Oryctolagus cuniculus: one gene and its partner. The protein of the gene in region 1 interacts with the protein of each later gene in a pairwise test. Links are inferred from orthologs where the notes say so. Each region holds a gene or a part of one and is shown on either strand. Other genes may lie near its edges.

Region 1 (10,323 bases):
AGAATTTATTTTTCATTCTATATGTTCATGTAAAAATTATACTAAGGGAAGATGCTTGGCCTAATGATTAAGATGCCTCTTGTGAGGAACGCATTGTAGTAGAGCAGGTTAAACTGCCACTTGGGACGCCAACATCCCACACTGAGATGCCGGTTCAAGTCATGGCTGCTTTGCTTAATGCATCCTACTAGGCAGCAGAATTGGCTCAGGTGCTTGGGCTCCTGTTGCCCACGTGGGAGATTCTGAGTTCAGGGCTCCTGGTTCTTTTTTTTTTTTTTTTTTTTTTGACAGGCAGGGTGGACAGTGAGAGAGACAGAGAGAAAGGTCTTCCTTTGCCCCTGGTTCACCCTCCAATGGCCGCTGCACTGCGGCCGGCGCACCGCGCTGATCTTAAGGCAGGAGCTGGTGCTTATCCTGGTCTCCCATGGGGTGCAGGGCCCAAGCACTTGGGCCATCCTCCACTGCACTCCCTGGCCACAGCAGAGAGATGGCCTGGAAGAGGGGCAACCGGGACAGAATCCGGCACCCCAACCGGGACTAGAACCTGGTGTGCCGGCGCCGCAAGGCGGAGGATTAGCCTAGTGAGCCGCGGCGCCGGCCATGGGCTCCTGGTTCCTGGCTTCGGCCTGATCCAGCATGGGCTGTTGCAGAGGTTTTGGGTAGTGAACAAGCAGATGGAAGATTCTTTCTTTTTCTTTCTCCCCCCAGCCCCGTCATCCCATATGGGTGCTGGTTCGAGTCCCAGCTGCTCCTCTTCCAATCTAGCTATCGGCTATGGCCTGGGAAAGCAGTGGAAGATGGCCGACGTCCTTGGCCCTTGCACCCGTGTGGGTGGGAGACCCAGATGGAATTCCTGGCTCCTGGCTCCAGCCTGGCAAAATCCTGGCTGTTGGAAGCCATTTGGGGAGTGAATTAGTGAATGAAAGATTTCGCTCTCTCTCCCCACCCCACCCCCCACCCCGTAATACTGTCTTTCAAGAAAACAAAATTTCAACTGTGTTTTGATAGTTTTCTTCTTTAGAAACAATCAAGTCTGTCAAAATAGGAAATGGTAGGAACAGGAGTCTGTATCTTATACTATGGCCTTAAATATTGCTGTTTCATAGTTTAAAAAATTACAAAGTACACTCATTAAATTTTGTAATTATCTATAGCTCAAAGCCTTCAGCCTATTGCTGCTCATACCAAGATTTATTACAGCTTACTGAATAAATGTTTCTCTGGGGGATGGTATTGTGATGCAGCAAGTTAGGCCACCATTGCAACGAAACATCCCAAATTGGAGTGCTCAGTTTCAGATCCAGTTTCCTGCTGGTGTGCCTAGAAGACAGCAGAGGCTTAACCTGCCCAAGAATGAGTTTTGTGGTCCTTTCCAGGAGTGAACCAATGGACAAGAGATCCCCTCCCCTAACCCTGTCATTCTGCTTTTCAAATAAAACAAAAAACCTTTAAAATATTAATCACCTGAACTTATTAGGACTTTTAGTACCATACAAGCAAAATACAGAAAAAAATTGGCTAAGGCTGATATGAGATAGGTAGCCTGCTAGTTAGGATCTGGAAGTACCTGCAAGCTACAAGCCCCCACCCTATGTTATTCTATCCTACTCATCCATCAGAACACTGCCTTTCCTAGGATGCCTTTCACAGGGGACCTATGGGGGAAATTCATCATGTAAATACGTATATAAGGCCCACATGGAATTTTATGGAGGTATCATAAAACTCCCAGATGACTTCATGTCTGTAGAGGCAACCTTCTCCTCTCCAACCTCATAAAAGGTGCTGGGAGGTGCTGCCTCTCCCCTCCAGAAACCAGGACTAGAGGAGTGCTAGGGTACAACTCTGTCTCCCCACTCTACCCCCTTCTCCTTCTGGGCCCATTACCCACTCACGACAGGTCTCTTTCTGCGTAAGGCAACCCATGCTCACATGTGCATGCTTGCTTTCTCACCTTTCACATAAAACTTTATCACTTGGGGCACCCTATATGTGCACAACAAAAGCCAGACACAGGAATGCACACATTCAAATTTCACTAATAAAAGTATCCTCACAGACCAAAGTTTGGGCTGGCACTGTGGTGCAGCAGGTTAAGCCACTGGCATCTCATACAAGCTCCACATGAGTTCCGACTGCTCCACTTTTTTTTTTTAATAGAAAACTTTTACTTAATAAATATAAATTTCAAAAGTACAATTTTTGGATTATAGAGGTTCTTCTCCCCATACCTACTCTCCCACCCACAAACCAGCCCATCTCCTACTCCTCCTCCCATCCCATTCTTCATGAAGATTTATTTTTAATTATGTTTATACACAGAAGATCAACTCTATACTGAGTAAAGATTTCAACAGTGAGCTCCCTGCTAATTGTGCCTGGAAAAGCAGCAGAAGATGGCCCAGGTGCTTGGGTCCCTGATACCAACGTAGGGGTACCAGTACGGAGTGCCAGACACCTGGCTTTAGTCTGGCCTAGACCAGGCTGGCGTGGCCTTTGGGGAATGAACCAGCAGATGGAAGAGCTATCTCTCTCTCTCACATTGTAACTGCCTTTATCAAGTAGACGAATAAATCTTAAAAAAAAAAAAAAAAAAAAGTTCACACTTCAATTTGCTGTATCAGAAGAGTTTTGTTGAGGTACAATTTGAGTTCAGCTTCCTGAGACACAAGAAGGTAGTACTGGGGCCTGCACTGTGGCATAGCAGGTAAAAGCCACCACCCGCAGTGCCAACATCTCATATGTGTGCCAGTTTGAGTCGTGGGCTGCTCCACTTCCGATCCAGCTCTTGGCTATGGCCTGGGTGGGAAAGCAGTAGAAGATGGCCCACTTCTTTAGGCCCCTGCACCCATGTAGGAGACCCAGAAAGCAGCTGCTGGCTCCTGGCTTTGGATCAGCACAGCTCCGGCCTTTGCAGCCAACTTGGGAGTGAAATAGCCCATGGAAGACCTCTCTGTCTCTCTGCCTCTCCTCCCTCTGTATAACTCTGACTTTCAAATAAATAAATACATCTTTAAAAAAAAAAAAAGGCGATATCAAGGTTATCAAAAAGACCAACATTTACAAATGAACGGTAAACAACACAGGCAGTTTCTGGAAAGAAAGATATGCCTGGCTTGATTAAGGGGGCAAAAAAGAAATGCAAAGAACTGGAGTTACAATGTAGAACAGAGGCATGACTCAGGAAAAGTTGGGACAACATAAGGAAATGACATCTCCTCTTCTAATACTGACCACTTAACCTTCCTCTGTTGCTCCGCCCCCCACGCTTCACTTACTCCTTTACATTCTCTTAAGAATGGCTGCCCCAACCAGGCTCCACTGCAGGAGACCAGTGCTTACCTCTTTAAAAAAAAAAAAAAAAAAGATTTATTTTATTTTTATTTGAAAGAGTTACAGAAAGAGGTAGAGACAGAGAGGTCAGTCTTCCATCCGCTGGTTCACTCCCTAGATGGCCGCAATGGCTGGAGCTGCGCTGATCCGAAGCCAGGAGCCAGGAGCTTCCTCCGGGTCTCCCACACCGGTGCAGGGGCCCAAGGACTTGGGCCATCTTCCACTGCTTTCCTAGGCCATAGCAGAGAGCTGGAGAGGAGCAGTTGGCGCCCATATGGCTTCAGGCCAGGGCTTTTACCAGCTGTACCACAGCACAGGCCCCATTACCCCCTTTAACAATCAGGCCCCAGGGCAAGGAGGTAGGGGAGGTATGAGAATATTTTCTGTTCCCCCTTCCTCCTAGAAGAGCTTCAAAGAAATTTTATTCAACAAAGAATTAATCCAAATTGGAAGAAATCCAATTTAGAATGTTTCAAGAGCACAAATGCGCTATACCTAGTATACTTTTCAGAGCTTGTAGGTCTAACTCTAAGAAAAGACAGCAACTTGCCAAAATTCCCTACTTCTGAGCCTTTGGCCAGCATGCACCTGACGAAACACCTATCATCCATTGACTCCTCAGTGCCTTCCTGACATCCTGACCTGTCAGTTTTTCTCAGGCACTGAGAAAAGCACTTCTTTTTCACGTGAATGGTGTCACAAAGACTGCTCAACCCCCAGTGAGCATGCGCACCTACCAAACAAGTTTCACTGTAAAAGGCTCTTGTCTATAACATAATCGTTATCACACACACCAGCACACGGGAGTGGCAGAAGTGCAGCCGAGTATGAAATCACGTGAAGTGGACGACCTATACTACTCAAACGTTAAGGCAGGAAGCTGATGCTTCAGGGCTGCACTGCTGGCTTTCTGCCCGCCCACGTCCTCAGGCTCACAGCGCCTGGTTCCCAGGCTAGAGCTCATCTCACCACCTGTGGACCTAAAGGAGCACCACAGAAACTGAGAGGGAATGCACTGTCATCCCTCTAGTGACCGGCTGTGGCACCTGACACCAAAGCCCCGCAGCTCTCTCATGATTTTGTGCCATGCCAGCACCTCCTTCCTTGTGCCCCTTTATAAGCCCCAAACCCCTAGCACAGCAGGAGTCCCTATCATCTGTGGACAGATTAAATGTTCTCTCTCCTTCATCTCAAAATCCTGTCCTCCTTACTTTGATTGATACTGGGGACAGGGCTTTGGCTAGCAGAAGTGCTGTCAGCAGAGGGGGAGGGAGAGCAGAGTTTCAGCACCTTTCTAGCAAGAGCTCCTACCTGCGGGCCTTGTCTCCTCAGGGAAGATGACTGTTTTAAACAGAGAGGGGAAGGCATTTTGTGTATATCAACACATTGTGTGCTGTAATCTGACCGTGGCTCCCCATGCAACAGTGCTGAGAGAAGATGGCATCTTCGAGAGACATTTTGGGCCAAGGGCTCCACTCTCATGAACGGATTAACATTTTTTCCTAAAAGAATAGGTCAGAAGTTTGGTCTCCTTTTCCTCTCTCCTGATGGTGCACACTCATTCTTGCCCTGTTCACAGGCTCTGGTCAGCAGCTGAACAGAGGGTGAAGTTCCCTGCCTCCAAAACTGGTGACCCAAACAAACCCCTTCCTGTTATAAATTACGCAGTCTCGGGTGTGCTGTTACAGCAACAGAAAACTGATGAATACACTATAACTGTCTTCTTACGTGTGTACGTCCTCCACTAGACTGAGAGAATTGCCCGAAGGCAAGAAGCCCATGTATTCACCTGTTGCATCCTCAGAACTAAGCACAATACCTGATACACAGCAGATACCCGATGCATGTCTGCTCAGTGAACACAGGTGTGACACTGAGGATCAAGCAGTGAGAAATACCTGCTGAGTGAAGACCAGTCATGTGATGCTTAGTGATGGGACCCGCCTCCGAGAAATGCATCGTTAGGCAACCATGTCACCGTACAAACACCACAGTCTGTGCTTACACAAACTAAGACAACAACGACATCACTAGGACACACAACCTTGTAAGAGCCCCTCATCATGTACGTGGTCCCTCATTGAACAAAACATCTTATGTGTCACATGACTGTAGGTAAAAAAGATAACACTCTGTAAAGAAACATTTCAGGAGACATCTCAAGTCAACTAATGAGTTGCTTTGTTATTAACTATTTCACATTAAAAAGTGTTAAGACATGAAAATGCAACATGTCAAATTTTTCTTGCCTGATACAGGTTTAAGGCCAATGTAAGCTCGTTAGCCTTTCATTCCACTTTCTCTAATTCCATCCACTTGTAGAATTAGCTTTTTATCCTTAAGTTGCCTTTGGATACTGAATCCAGTCACACATGAGCTGACAAGCAAGCGCCTGAAGCTTTGGATGACGGCACTGTCCACGAGATCATCTATGAACAACAGTACTTTTCATCTCAACAGTGGTAACTCTCTTACCGAAGTGATGCTAAAGTGTGACCCACTAAATCCTGCAGGGGCTCAGGAGCCACTAAGGGGAAGCTCTGGAACAGTGCAGGGGGCAGAACAACGCAGTCTACTTTTACCAGACAAGTTTTCAAGCAGAAAATGCGAGATGTTCTAGCCTTTTCTGAGATGCCAGAGTTTTCCTTTTCATCTCCCAAGACAGGACGTGTCGCATCTGCGCGATCGAAGGTAAGGGACGGCACCTGTACAACCGTACGTGAATTCTGAATGTAGGACGGCACCTGTACAACCGTCCATGAATTCTGAATGTGTGCCATCAGCGCTTGCACGCGCGTGTACGTGAGCTCTCCCCATTCGACACGGGGCAGCCGACCTCTCCAGCGCCGAGCTGCCCTAGACAGTATGGTATCCACAGCCGCCGCCTCTTCCAAGGCAGGAGGGCTCATCAACAGGCTCCAAGAGGGGCAGAAAGTTCGCGACAACTCCCTAAGTATGCAATCAGTCCAGACTCCAACTCCAGCTCGGCCGTATTCCCGGCGCCCGGCGAGGGGCACCGCCCTTTAGGGATCTCCAACCTACGCAGGCAGGAAGTACTCCCTAGACCCCCTGCGACGCGCCGAGATCGCCCCCAAAACATTCCGTCGCAGAGGCGGCGGCACCGCCCCTTCCCAGTCCGCAGTCAGAGTCGCCGCCGCCCACTTTCCGGCTGCACCTACAGCCGCCCAGGACCCGGCGCAGCACTCACCCACGTCCTGCTCGAAGGGGTTGGCGGTGAACAGTGGCATCTCGCCGGCGTCCGGGTCCGCGTCCCTGCGGTCTGGCTGGGTCTCAGCAGCTCCTCCCCGCCGGCTGACCCGGGACCGCGGCTTCCTAGACGACTCCGCTCCGGACGCCCGCCCCGTTCTTCCGCCCGCGGGCCGGCTTGACGCCTGCCTGCCTGACGGGCTGCCAGCGGGCGCTCCGCCCCCGACTCCGCTTTTGGGACGACGTCCCGCCGGCATCGGGCATCCTCTCAGCGCCCCTGTCGCAGCCGCCCACCTAGAGGAGGCAGCAGTCCTGGTCCCAGGCCTTCGCAGGGCTCAGGCGTTTGGCGCGGCCACCTTTCCGTGGCGAGGACCTCGGCAAGCCACGGAGCCGGGACCTTCGGAAACGGAAGTTGCTGATGAGAAACGCAGGAGGTCCGGAAGCTGCAATGCGACCGGCGGCGCGGCAGGGGGCGCGGCGGGCCCGGGTTTTTCGTGGGGCGGGCGGAGTTGGGGGCGCGGATCGTAACTGCCCGGTTCTTCTTGCTGATGGAGTTCTAGGGCTGCAGGTCTGGTCGCCGGCGGCCGCTGAGCGCCCGTGGCTGCGTTCGCGTCACAGTGCGGTAGCCCTGGAAACGGAGCCGCTGGCGGCGCGGTGGCTTTGCGAGTCTGCCCGAGGCCTGGCTTAGCTCTGCTCGCCCACCTCTAGGGCGCTGCGCCCCAAATCCCCCGAGAACAGCCGCCCATGGGAAGCGGTGGTCGCGGCGCTTAGGGCTCTGCAGGGACTCGTACCTTTCGCCTCCCGCCGCCTCCTCGCCGTAAAAGCAGTGCTCACTCCGGGAATCCGAAGGCGGATGAGGCAAACCCCCTACTCTTCACAGGGGCAGTGCCTATGTACGAGGTCGTAGGCGACCGTGTGGGACTAGTAATTAGCAAACAGATGGCCGTCGCATCCGGCCCGGCACTGGAATGTCAGCACCCCTTGGACTCACACCTTCCCTGCCCCTCGTCGCCCTCCGTCATGGTTTTCCCGAGGACATAATTGCCTCCTAGGTTGTCTGTCTCCCCTCATGAGACAACGAACTTGTGTTTATCTCACAGGTTGGCCTCTTTATCCACTATGCCACAGCCCCAGCCCCTTGACTTCACTTTTGTCCTAATGTTTCCTCTCTCTCACAGTGACTATTAATTGGACTAATAGCTAGCATGTTAGCTATTCAATTAAGGAAAAATTTTATAAGGAAAAAGATTTTATCTTATTTTCACCTGTTCTTTTACTGCTTTTCGTTTTGAAGATGTAGATCCACATTTCGGCCCTATGTCGTGTTCCTTCTCCCTGAGCACTTCTGTTCACATTTATTGTAAGATAATTCCACTGTCGCCAGATTCCTTCGAATTTCGTGTGCCAGAGAAAGCCTGTTTCTTCGTTACTTTTAAAGGTTAATTTCAATAGATAGAGAATTCTAGATTGGTGGTTTTTTTTTTTTCATTGTACACTTTAAATAGTTCACTTTTTCTCTTCGTGCCTCCATGGTTTCTGAACCCACTTGTAGTTCTTATCCTTACTCCCCTGTAGGTAGTAAGGTGTTTTCCCCATCTCGGGCTTCTTTCAGATTTTCTCTTTGCCTTTGATCTTCTGTATATTGATTGGGATGTACTTATGTATAGAGTTTTTTGGAATTCGTACTGTTCGGCGTTGTATCTGTCGTTGGATCTGTAGTATCATTAATTTTGGGAAATTCACAGTCGTTGCTTCAGATATTTCTTTTGTTCTTTTTCTTTTGATATTTCCATTATGCTTTTTGTAATTCTCCCTCGGTTCTTACATACTCCATTATTTTAAATTCTTTTTTCTTTTCTTTGCATTTTAGATTTTCAGATTCAGATTCTTTGGCCCTGTAGTTTCTGCTGAGGAGCCCATTAGGGCATTCTTCATTTCTGCTGCAGTGTTTTGTATTTACAGTATTTTCTTTGGATTCTTTCTTATTTCTATTTCTCTGTTTATATTATTAATTTTTCCATTTTTCCATTTGAGCCCCTAACACATAAATCAACGTCATGGTGTGATAATTCTAACATTCTTGCTGTATCTGAGTCTAGTTCTGTTGCTTGCTCTGCCTCTTCAAACCGTTTTTGTCTTTCAGTATGCCTTGTAGTGTTTTACTGAGAGTTGGACGAGATACATTGGAATTAAACAGTCATTTACTGTGAGGTTTTACCTATATCCACCCAGGGCTCAGGCTGTGTTCACCATTCCCTGTAGCTGTAGGTATCAGAGACCAGAATTTTCTCTCTGATTTCCTTGTTTGTATCTCCTCTGTTGTCTTTGGGTGGTCTTCCCCCCTTCCCCTCCTCCTCCTCCTCCTCCTCCTAGATTTATTCATTGGTTTGAAAGTCAGAGTTACAGACAAGGAGAGACAGAGAGAGAGAGGTCTTCTATCTGCTCGTACACTCCCCAAATTACCCCAACAGCCAGAGCTGGGCCAGGTTGAAGCCAGGAGTCGGGAGCTTTATCCAAATCGCCTATGTGGGTGCAGGGGCCCAAGCACTTTGGGCCATCTTCTACTGATTTTCCCAGGCCAATAGCAGCTGGATCACAAGAGGACCCACATGGGATGCCACGTTGCAGGCAGCAGCTTTACCCATTATGCCTTAACACCAGCTCCTACAATACAGCTTCTTTGCAATGATAGGTGTGTTTACATTTTTGTTTTATATTTGCACTCTTCAGATGGCTGCTAGCCGTATGTGACACTCGATCACCTGAAATGTTGCTAGTTGCATCCGGAAAAGCAGTGAAAGATGGTTCAAATGCTTGAGCGCATGAACCCACATGGGAGACCTGAAAGAAGCTCTTGGCTTCTGGCTTTGTCCTGGCCCAGACCCAGCCATTGCAGCCATCTGGGGGGTGAACCAGTGAATGGAAGATAGCTCTATCGCTCTCTATCCCTCTCTCTCTCCCTGTAACTGTACTTTTTAAATAAATAAAATAAATCTCCACCTTTTTTATTTTATTTATTTATTTATTTTGACAGGCAGAGTGGACAGTGAGAGAGACAGAGAGAAAGGTCTTCCTTTATCGTTGGTTCACCTTCCAATGGCCGCTGCAGCCGCTGGTCGAAGCCAGGAGCCAGGTGCTTCTCCTGGTCTCCCATGGGGTGCAGGGCCCAAGCACTTGAGCCATCCTCCACTGCACTCCCAGGCCATAGCAGAGAGCTGGACTGGAAGAGGGGCAACCGGGACAGAATCCGGCGCCCCAACCGGGACTAGAACCTGGGGTGCCGGCGCCACAGGTGGAGGATTAGCCTACTGAGCCGTGGCGCCGGCCTAAAATAAATCTTTAGAAATGTTGCTAGTGTGGTGCAGGTGCTGTGGCACAGCTGGTTAAAGCTCCCGCCTGTGGCACCAGCATCCTCATGGGTGCCGGTTTGAGTCCTAGCTGCTCCCTTCTGATCCAGCTCCCTGCTAATGTGCCTGGGACAGCAGCAGAGGATGGATGGTCCAAGTCCTTGGGCCCCTGCACCCACGTGAGAGACCAGGAAGCTGAATTGGAAGAAGAGTAGCCAGGACTCTCTGAGCAGCCAGATGGCATCTAAAGCCACTTACCTCAGGTGGCAGCTTAACCCACTGAGGCACAACGCACTCCCCCACCCATCGCCAGTTCCTTTTTACGTTTAATGTTGCTTGATATCCTCCATTCCTGCACAGGAACAAAAGCATTTTCCAGGGGCATTACTCGTTCAGCATTTTGTTTAGTGAACATGGAGTGCTACCACATGCAAAA
Region 2 (10,412 bases), on another chromosome or scaffold:
GTGTACAGGGCTCGGCCTGGGTTGCAGCTCCAGCTCCTGGAACACGCACGGCCACCTGCCCAGGTCAGCGCGTGGGGGTGCTCCTGCTCACCCCCCGCCCCCACCTCAGGGCACAGCCTCACGGGACAGGGCTTCCCCCTCCAGGGAACTGTCTCACTGTTCCTGCCCCTTGACCTCAGCTCGCTTCGGCCTGCTGGGGCGCCTGCCCTCCCACCTGCCCTCCCATGGGGCTCTGGACAGGAAGACAAGGCAGTATCAATTCGGAAGGGGAAGTGTGTGTGTTGGGGGCTGGGGGCGTTTCGGGGGCAGGAAGTGGGAAATTCGAACAATGGCACTGGAGGGAGGGGCAGCCGGGGGCCGAAGCCAGCTGCGGAGCCCAGGCGGGACCCACAGATCCAGGGGGAAACCTGTGGTCCTGGGGCCACGCGGAGACTGTGGGAGCCGTGATGGCCAAACAACCCTGGCTGCGGCTCCCAGGCAGGCAGGGGCACCAGGCCCCGGCCCGGGGCGCCCCCTCCGCCCGCCCATGTGTGGGCACGTTTGTTCCTTCCTTCACCCTGCAACTACCCCCTGAGAACTGATCTTTACAAACTTCTGCTCCTGTCCCTCCCCGGCCTCGGGACAAGACCAAGCGCCTCTCTGGCTACTGCACGCCCGGTCCTGCCACGCCGGCTCCGCCTTGGGCCCCTGCGCTGCGCCCCTGCCTGCAGGGCTCCTCCCGGGCTCTTTCCCATTCTTCACACCTGTGTCAGAAGGCGCCTCTTACAGGCTGCCCTCCCGACTTTACTCCCTGCAGTTCCCTCCCAGCACACACACACACACACGGTGCCTTTCCCCGGCTGCCGTCTCCCTCCTGCAGTGGACGCCGAGTCCGCAGAAGGTGGGCACCATCCCCCCCGCCCTGGCCGGCACACAGTAGGTTTGCAAGTCGGGGTGCAGCGTTGAAGCAGAGAACACCCTCCTCACACAGGAATCCCAATCGGGGGTCCCCACGCCCACTTTGCAGACTCCAGAAAGCCAGGGGCCAGCAGGAGGCCGGGCAGCGGGCCAAGTTCAGGTGCCAGTGGACTGTGGGAGGCCTCGGCTGTGTGCACGGACGCCGGGGGCAGGGCAGAGCAGCAGAGCCCGAAGGCGGCTGAGGGCAGCCCCTTTGTCCGGCTGGACCTTTCCTGGGACCCCCTCGAAGCCCCCAGGACGGCCCATGGGCCACGTGGGCCGCCTCCGAGCTGTCACGGCCACTTCACCCACAAGCACGCGGCCGCCCAGCAGCCCTAGGGGAGCCCTGCTGCCCCAGCCGCTCCACTTCGCAGAAGGGGAAACTGAGGCACAAAGAGCAGGAGACGGGAACCCAGAAGCAGGGCCCCACCCAGCGGAGCGGCCTTCGAAGGCCGGGGGCCGGGCGGACCCCAGCCAGGGGCACCTGCTCTGCGGCACCCGCTCACAGGCTCCCTCTGTAGGACAAAGCCTGGCGTTCAAAGCCAAGGCCACCAGTTCCCCCGAAACCTGGATAACCTCCATACTACCTGTCCCCTCCGACTCCACACACCTGACCCCTGGGTCCCAGCAGCACCCCGGACACCACCAGAGACTGGCTGGAGCACAGGGCAGGCCGTGTCCCCTGGGGTGACAGCAGCAAGGCAGAGCAGCCCCAGTGAGCACCGGCCGGCCCGGCCCTAAGCCGCTGGACCGCCACCCAGGCCGCAGCCCTCTGCTCCCTGCCCGTGTCTCCCAGGCCCGGGGAGGCCAATGAGAGCCCAGAGCAGCCAGGGGAGCTGCGTGTGACCCCGAGCCCAGCACTGCCCACCAGCGGGCCCCTGCCTTCCTGCAGGCCTGCCCCACCTGGGCCGGGGGCCGCTCCCTCTGCCTTGACTTGGGATCTTGCAACTAAGTCTTCACCCACCGCACATGTCGGAGGCCGAGTGGGCACAGCCAGCAGCTGGGTGGCCCGAGTCCTCTCCCCCCTGAGCCCTGCCCGCGCTCGGGGTGACGTCGGGACCCCACCAAGCTGCTCCGGGCTGGCCTCAGTTTCTCAGTGTGGAGCCCCTGGCCTCACCGGCCACCTTATGAGGTGGGTGAGTGAGCGGAAGGGCCCGGGGCCTCTAAGGTCGCATGTCCCCAGCCACGCCTCCGTGGGGTGCCACAGGAGGGCAGTGGGTGCTCAGGACCAGAAAGACACAGAGCGCGGGCCCAGGCCCGGTGCCACAAACAGCCCCTTCCCCAGGGACTCGCTGCCTCCTCCTCTCCTCCTCCTCGTCGTCGCTGACTGGGGCACATCACCAGGTTGCTGGGCTCAGCGGGGCACCAGCCTGCAGCTCCCGGGGCTCACCAAGGCAGCCAGGAGGCTTGCTGGCTCTCTGGGGACCACGCACCTCCAGAACTGTCCCCAGGAGCCATGCCCCTCATGCCCTAACAAGCCACCTGCCAAGGCCGCCAAACCACCAGGCTCTGCCTCCCCAGGGGTCCCCGTTCACAAACCAGAGCGGCTCCTGCCCAGGTCCCTTGGGAAAACAGGGCTGCGGGGAGCCCAGGGCTCCGCGGGTCACCGCCAGGACGCAGGTGGAAGATCTGCCCTGTGCCGCACCGGCTCTGTGGCACTGGGCACAAGGACGCATCACGCGCAGCCGCGGCTGTCCACGAGCCAGGATCAGAAGCAGGGGGAGCCCAAGGCAGCCCCGTGGCTCTCGGGCCAGTGCTGGTTCACCCCTGCCCCTCCCGGAGGAAGCCCCAGGTTTCCCGCAGCAGAAGAGGAAGCTGGAGCCCGCAGACCTCAGGGGCTGTCCCAAGGTCAGCCAGGGGCTCCTGTGGCCCGGGCCCCAGTCCCGTGCCCCCGCCCTGTGAATCACCTGCCGCCTGAGAGGCTGAACAACTCTGGGAATAACAGGGGAAGCTGGAGAAAAGTTGGCGCAGTCGCCGTGTGCCAGCACTAATGCCTTGGGCAGATGTCTCCTTCCCACGTCCAAACCACCCCGCGGGTGGCAGACGGAGGCGCTAAGGCTCAGAGAAGTCAAGTCAGCTACCCAAGGTCACACAGCTCAAAAGTAGGTGCGCACAGACCCAATCACCCAGGTGGCCTGCAGCCGGAACTCCAGCTCCCAATCGTGACCCTAAACTGTCACAGTCTTCACCCACCCACCCCCAGCTCCTCTCCCCGGTGCCCGAGGGGCCTGGGACCAGCTGACCCCAGGGCGGTCGCCCTCGGGACTCAGGATGACAAGCACCCATACGCCAGCGAGCGCGGGCGGCGAGCAGGCTGGGTGCCAGGCGCTCCACGCACCCTCTCATTAACCCTGGCGGGGCCGCCGGCGTCCCCGCGCCGCACGGAGCAGCAAGCCCGGTGCCAGGGACGCAGGGGCTCGGCCGGGGGGGGCGACAGCTGGGGAGGGGGCGACAGCTGGAGGCGGCTGGAGCCGGCCCGCCTTGGGGCGGGGGTCGGCGGCCACGAGACCCAGTCCTGCCCACGCCACGCCGTCACCGCCGACGGAGCCGCGCCCGCCTCAGTTTCCCCACCCGCGCGCCAGGCGCCGGACGTCGCCCGGACCCCTGACTCCCGCCTGATTCCGTCGCCGCAATCCGCCTGACCGCGCTGGGGGCTGCCAGGACCCAAGCCTTGGAAGCAATTTTGAAAATCCTCGAAGTGTCCCAGGGAGCCCCGGAGGCCGGCCCGGGCCTGGGCGGGGGGCGTGCACAGGGGGCTGGAGCACCGCTCCCCGCGAGGCGGCCTCCGCCCCCCGCCGCCTCCTTTGTCCCGACCTCTCCGCAGCGCAGCGGACAAAGAGCCCCCGCCGCGGGCGCGGCCCCCGGAACAGACAGACCCTCCCTCCCGCCAGCCGCGCCCCGGCCCGGGCCGCCCCTCCCTCGCCGCGAAGACCACCTCCCACCCAGGCCCGGGGCACCGCCGCCCCGCGCGCCCGCGCGCGCGCCCCCACCCCGTCCGGGGCCGCCCCTTCCCCTCCCTCAAGCCCCCGCCTGGCGCACCGCCCAGCCCGCCCGGCCCCGCTCACCATGGCGCAGCCCGCAGCCCCGGCCCGGTCGCCCCGCAGCAGCCCCGCGGGCCCGGCTCCGCCCGCCAGCCCGCCAGCCCGGTCCGGCCGCCGCGCACCGTCGGGACGCAGGAACCCCGCTCTGCGGCGGGCGGGGCGCCTCAGGCTCCGCCCCGGACGGGGGCGGGGACCTCCGGCGTGGCCAATAGGCGCCTGCGCTGGGACGGCGGGGCGGGCCGGGCCGGGGCGGAGTCACGTGCGCTCGGGGCCGGGGCCGGGGCGGCCGGCGTGGGCGGGGGCTCCGCGCAGCTGGCGGGACGGCGGGCGGGGCGGGGGGCGCTGGTGGGTTGGGGCCGCGCCGTCAGCGCCGTGCCTCCGCCAGCCTCACCCCAGCCCCACGGGCTGTCCTCTTCCCGCGCGCTTACCGACGGGGAAACTGAGGCGCCCGGCAGGTAAGAGCTTGGGACTGGAGCCAGCTGGTCGTTTACTCATTCGTAAGGTTTATCGAACCTCGGCCACATGCCTGCTGCCCCGGAGGCCTCAGCGCAGCGGGAGCCAGAGAGTTCCACCCCCTTGACAGTGTGTCATCCTGCTTATTTTGACCGTAATAGCAGGCGCCCTGCCCACCAGATGCCCAGCCCTGTCCTACCAGTGAGTACGCTTAGCTCAAGACAGACCCCCACGGAGCTAGCCCACCTTACCGCTGCGAGGTGCGGAGGGATCCCAGGGTTTGGTTCCAGGCCTGCGCCCCCGGCTGGGAGAGGCCCCAGTTAGTGTGGGCATAGCAGCTGGTCGCTGCAAGTGGGCGCTCGCCGTGGCCAGTGAGGCCCGTTCGAGGGGTGGGTGCTGCAAGGCCGGTGAGCCCAGAGGGGCTGGTGGACCTGGGGCTCCTGGGAGCTGGACGGCTTGTCCGCCGGTAGCTTCTTTGCCTGTCTCTGGCAGAAGCTTGCAGGCCAGGGCGTCGGGCATCCCTGGCTCCCTCCTGCACGGCCTGGGCTCTCCTCCCGCGCCGTCAGAGCACCAGGCTGTTCCTGCCCCAGTGCCTTTGCCATGCCACTTGCTCCTGCCCGTGCCACTTCTCCACTTCATTGATCTCAGCTTGAATGGCCCTTCCTTGGCAGGGGCTTTCCTAACCCCCCCCCCCCGCCCCACCTCCCCATCTCTCCTGCCCCTTGTGAAATTAAACATTTGGGGGGCAGAGCAAGGGAGGGCCTTGGGAGTTGGGGGTGGTGATGAGCTTTTCCCTGGGTTGGGTCTGCTCCATTCTCTGTCTTTTCTGCAGAGGAGCGCCAGGCACACAGGCTGGCTGCCCTGTGCTCTGGCTGTCCGTCACACCTGGGAGTCCAGAGTGGCAGGAAACAGGTTCTTCCCACAAAGCCAGTTCCAGCGGCCTTTGCGGTCCCAGCCTCCAGCCAGCAGAGCATCATTAGTGGTAAGAGCTGGGCAGGGCAGGCTTGGAACCCCAGAGCCAGAGCTGGCGTCGCGATGCCAGGCAGGCAGGGACACTTGGGGGAACAGATTCTCGGGGGAAAGTGGTAATGGAAGTTGGCAGACTGCCAGGGTTCGAGTCCAGCCGTTTATGCTGTGTGGCTTTGGAAAAGCAGCCTGACCTCTCTGTGCTGTTTTCTCTGGTGTGAGCACATCGAGTGCTTGGCACAGAGGACGGCCTCCTGGCCACTCGCTGGTGCCGTCAGTGCTAGGGTTGAACGGGTTGGGCCGTGAACTTGAACTTCCCCGGCACGTTGCTGCACCCCCAGAGCCTTGGGTGCCTCGTCTTCAGGGTGGGTCTCATGAAACCCACCTCGGGGGTGGGCTGAGGATGGGGGACCTGCAGCAGCCCTCTGAGCCCCTCTTGTCTAGAATGTTCCAGTAATGCTAAGTTACTGTGAATTGTACCGGTGGCATTTGCTGGGAACTGGACAGACATTTCACACCCATTCTACGGAAGAGGAGCCGAGGCACCCCAGGGTGCGTGTGCACCCGGGGAGGGTGCCGTAGAGCAGACCCTGGCTGTGGTCTGCAGGTCTCACGAGCACCCCAGGCGGGGCCAGGGCGGGGCAGTGTTCCCCACACTTAACACAGCGAGGGCCCGAGTCGTTTGCTGAAGGCCACAGAACAGCAGTGCCCAGCCCGGGGTTGGAGCCCCTCCAGTGTCCTGCCTGCCCCGGCCCCGGCCCCGCTGTCATCCCTGGCTGGGAGGAGGCAGGAAGTGTAAGTCCCTTCCCCCAGAGCAGTTTCCTCCCGGTGCCTCCGGGTGACATCTGGCCCAGGGTCCCCAGGGTCCTCCCTGTGGGCCGGGCTGCAGGTTCCCAGCTGCTCATTAGCCAAGACGATAATTAAGGGCGGGGGATGAGCTCACCCCTGCTCCCTCGGGCCTGCCGGGGCCCAGTCGGCCCTGCCCTGTGCCAGCCTGGCCCTGTGCCCACTCCCCCCCCTCCCAGTGCTGGAGGGGCTTGTGGGGGGAGGGGGGTGAAGCAGACGCAGGCAGCCTTAGGGGAGCCCCCTGCAGCCCAGCCACAGCCCCCAGGCATCTGCTCCAGGGATTTCCAGGCCTAAAAGCAAAAGGAACCCTGGGGCCAGAGAGGAACCCCCTGAAGGGCGAGGAGCACGCGCTGAGCAGGGGCCGGTGGGAGGCCCCGCCCTGCTCTTTCCAGGGGGTAGCCCCTCCCACCTCGCTCCCAGCTAACGTGGCTGTCACGGCTCCCCAGGCTGGCTCAGCCCTCCTGGCTCCAGGACTGCGCTGTGGAGCCAGAGTGTCCCGGCGTTGTATTTGGCGCGCTTGTGCGTCGGTTTTCTCCTGTTCATGGCAAGTGTTGCCTTTTTTTTTTTTTTTAAAGATTTATTTATTTATTTGAAAGAGTTACAGAGAGAGAGAGAGAGGTCTTCCATCCACTGGTTCACTCCCCAAATGGCCGCAACAGCCGGAGCTGCACCGATCCAAAGCCAGGAGCCAGGAGTTTCTTCCGGGTCTCCCACGCAGGTGCAGGGACCCAAGGCCTTGGGCCATCTTCCACTGCTTTCTCAGGCCACAGCAGAGAGCCGGATGGGAAGTGGAGCAGCAGGGACTCAAACCGGCGCCCATATAGGATGCCGGCATTTCAGGCCAGGGCTTTAACCTGCTCTGCCACAGCACCGCCCCAGGTGTTGCCTTTCCATTCGGGACAGTGACAAGGTGCCTCTTCCTTTTAAAATCTGCTTCTTAAGAGGCAAGTGCGTTACAGTATACAACTTGTCATCACAGAGCTGGGGTGGGAACAGTGGCAGATGCAGGGGACCCAGGCCCATCCCACGGGGGGTCTGCGACAGAGCCCTCCCAGGAGCCCCTGTGGAAGTCCGTCTGCATTGCTGCGGTTGAGTGGGGGCTGGGTCGGCTCTGGGCTTCGTTCCTGGGGGTCGTGGTGTCAGTGAGAGGAGGGACTGGCGAATGGTGTGTGCGAGGTGTGAGTGCTGGGTGCAGCCGGCCGGCGTGGGGCGGGGAGGGCCTCCGAGATGGGTGCCGGCTGCCAGGAATGTAGCCTCAGCCTGGAGCCAGGGAAGTTCACGGGCACGCAAGGGGCAGGCGATGAGCTGGCGCTGGGCAGGGAGCCTTTTTATTTATTTAATTGTATGTTAAGATTTATTTGAAAGAGAGGGAGAGACAGAAAGAGCTTCCATGTGGTGTCTCACTCTGCAAATGGCCACAATGGCCGGGGCTGGGCCAGGCCAAAGCCAGGAGCCAGGAGCTTCATCTGGGTCTCCCACGTGGGTGCAGGGGCCCAAGCACTTGGGGCATCTTCTGCTGCTTTCCCAGGCCATTAGCAGGGAGCTGGATTGGAAGCGGGGCAGCCGGGACTTGAACCGGCACGCCTATGGGATGCTGGTGTGGCAGGCAGCACCTAACCTGCTATGCACCACGCTGGCCCCTGCTGCAGTTCCGTAGGTCACGCAGTAGGTACCAGGTACCTGAGAAAGACCCTCATCCAACCTCGAGGTCCCCATCCCACTGTTCCGTCCCCGCCTGGGGTCCCTGTGGCCCTGAGCCCCGGCCCACTTTTTGTACCTCCTCACCACGCCTCCGTCCTAGAAAGGGTGTTTTCCTTTAGTTTCTGCCTACTAACTGCATGAAAAGGGTTATGAGCGTCCCAGTGTTGGAAAAGGCAGCGAGTGTCTCAGGGTTTATTCCAAGTTCTTTCCCCGTACAGTTAAGAAAGCAGAGCACCCGTGAGGTGCAGAGGCGGGGGCAGCGTTTATTTGAAGTGAGAGAGTGAATACACACGCACGCGTGAGTGCAGCCACCCCACACGGACAGGCACCGTCCTGAGTGGGCCAGAGAGCTGCCCACCAAGACAGAGCCTGGGAGGGGGCGGGGAGGGACCAACAGCCTGGGAAGCCAGAAGGACCACGCCCACAGCCTTTGTGGGGTAGGGGGTGGTCCCTTAATTGAGTATGCAAATAGGGTGGAGTCTGGGCATGAGGCTTTGTGGGAGTTCTGTGGCATCGGCTCCTCCTTCCTGGTCCCAGACAAGGCCCCGGGTGCATCATGGGATGCTGGGTGTGCTGGATTGGCAGGTAGGTGGGTGGAGTGACAGTGCAGGGCTGCATGGAAGTTAGGGGAAAATCTTCCAGCTCACGTATTCCTACCCGAGTGCCGCCTGCTTCCCCCGTATCACTAGGACCACTGTAACAAATGACCACAAGCCGGATGTTCTCTCCTGGTCCCCGAGGCCGGAAGCCTGAAACCCAAGTGTGGACAGGCACCTGCGCCCCCGAGTGCACCGGCTGGGACCTGGTCCACGCCCCTCCCCAGCCTCTGGGCGTCCTCGGCTTTACGTCGCCCGGGTCTCTGCCTCCGTCTTCATGGGCATCGCCCCCTGTGTGCCCTCCCCTCTTATTCAAGGACACAAGGATGTAGGGGCCCTCATCCAGGGTGACCTCATAGAGACTGAACCTTGTTTCTAAATAAGAGCGCATCTTCAGGTAGGGGTTAGGATTTCGATGTGTCATTTTGTGGCTACAGCTCAAACCACGGCAAAGAGAACCATACTCACGCTGTGTGACTCTGGTGGGTCTTGGCTTCTCCATGCATTCGTGCTTGTCCACGGCTAAGAACGGCCCACCTGGAGGTCCCAGCGTCGCAGGTGGTGGATTAACCTGCTACACCACAGCATGCCCCCCCCCATTTTCCACTCAGTGTCCTGAAGCTCTGTGTGTGCATAATTTGTCATCTTTCCCAACATGGAAGTCTAAAGGATATTTCCGTGTGCAATCTGCTGAAGATGGAAGTGGTGTCATTTGGAGCTGGTTTTTGTCTACAGTGTGAGGTAGGGATAGGTCACATAATCGTAGAAGCGCTCCTAGGCTGACGGCCGTGTCTTGGAGGCTGTGGGGCCGGCTATTCCGTGGAGGCTTCTGGCGTATACTGCACACTGCACACTGGGTTTTGAGTTCTGACTGTGCCTCCCATGGGCCCGCCCGTGGGCTCAGTCTTCTCGTCTGTAATGGGGATTTGAATAGCTGCTGCCCCCGGGTGCCAGGAGGATTTCATGAGATACACGGGTGCCGTCCGGTTTGCCTGGTGCTCGGCGTGGCACGCTGGTGTTTACTGAGCACGCCATGCCGGTTATTAACCCCGTGAAGGTGGTGAAGAGACCGGGCTCGGCCCAGCAAAGCCACGCCCTCCCGCCTTGGGACAGCCATGAAGGGGCGGGGATTGACCCCAACTCCCTTTCACACAGCAGCAGGGGACGAGGCTGGGGGGGGGGGGCGTGGCCAGGGATCTGGTCAAGTCCCTCAAGGCCTCCCGCACGGGCAGCTGACCCCGCAGTGGAGATGAAGCGAGTTAGTCACGGTCGCTTTGGCAGGTCGGTCCATCAGCGGCTGTTATCCACAGCTGGGCCTCAGCACAGCCTAGGGCCGGGGCTGGGGGCTTCGCATCCAGCAGGGGACACGGAAGCCCCCTCAGCTGAGGGCTCTGGGCTCAGCTCTGCCACCTTGGGAAGGCCAGTGGACGTCTCTGGGCCTCAGTTTCCCTTCCTGGAAAGTGGGAGTCACTGGCCTCCCCTTCGCAGCAGATTTCGGTCACTCACGCGACCGGCGTGGGTGGGAGCTGCTGTCATCATTTGTCATCATTCTTCCCGCCATCCTGTCCCAGTCGTGTGAGGACACTGGGCCAGGCTCACAAGAAACGCGCCACCTGCCGTGAGCAGGTGCACGACGGGCATTCTCCCCGGCAAGGTGGCTGCCGCTGGGCTGAGACTGGGTGAGGACCGAGACAAGATCCCTGAACCGAAAGCCAGGAGAGGGCAGAGGTCAGGAAGAAAGGGTTGAGAGGATGCGGGAATAAAGTACTCTGTACCCCACTTTCGCTAGAAACTGCCAAAGTGAGAACCCCGATACAGTGAGAGCGAGCACCCCCCCCCCCGGGGGGAGATCCGCCCACCAGGAGGCTCCAAC

What was found. The genes of interacting proteins can lie anywhere in the genome.
Region 2: the proteins of STAM2 (region 1) and LITAF interact in a two-hybrid assay, tested with the Homo sapiens proteins (4 studies listed by BioGRID and IntAct). The two-hybrid records come from large-scale screens. The link is inferred for Oryctolagus cuniculus from reciprocal best matches to the Homo sapiens genes STAM2 and LITAF.

Annotation. Positions count from the first base shown.
Region 1 is NC_091434.1:89,702,923-89,713,245, reverse strand, and holds the start of STAM2 (signal transducing adapter molecule 2), read right to left. Parts: upstream 7,068-10,323; 5' UTR 6,798-7,067; coding exon 6,542-6,797; intron 1-6,541.
Region 2 is NC_091450.1:25,059,070-25,069,481, forward strand, and holds the start of LITAF (lipopolysaccharide-induced tumor necrosis factor-alpha factor), read left to right. Parts: upstream 1-4,279; 5' UTR 4,280-4,432; intron 4,433-5,262; 5' UTR 5,263-5,412; intron 5,413-10,412.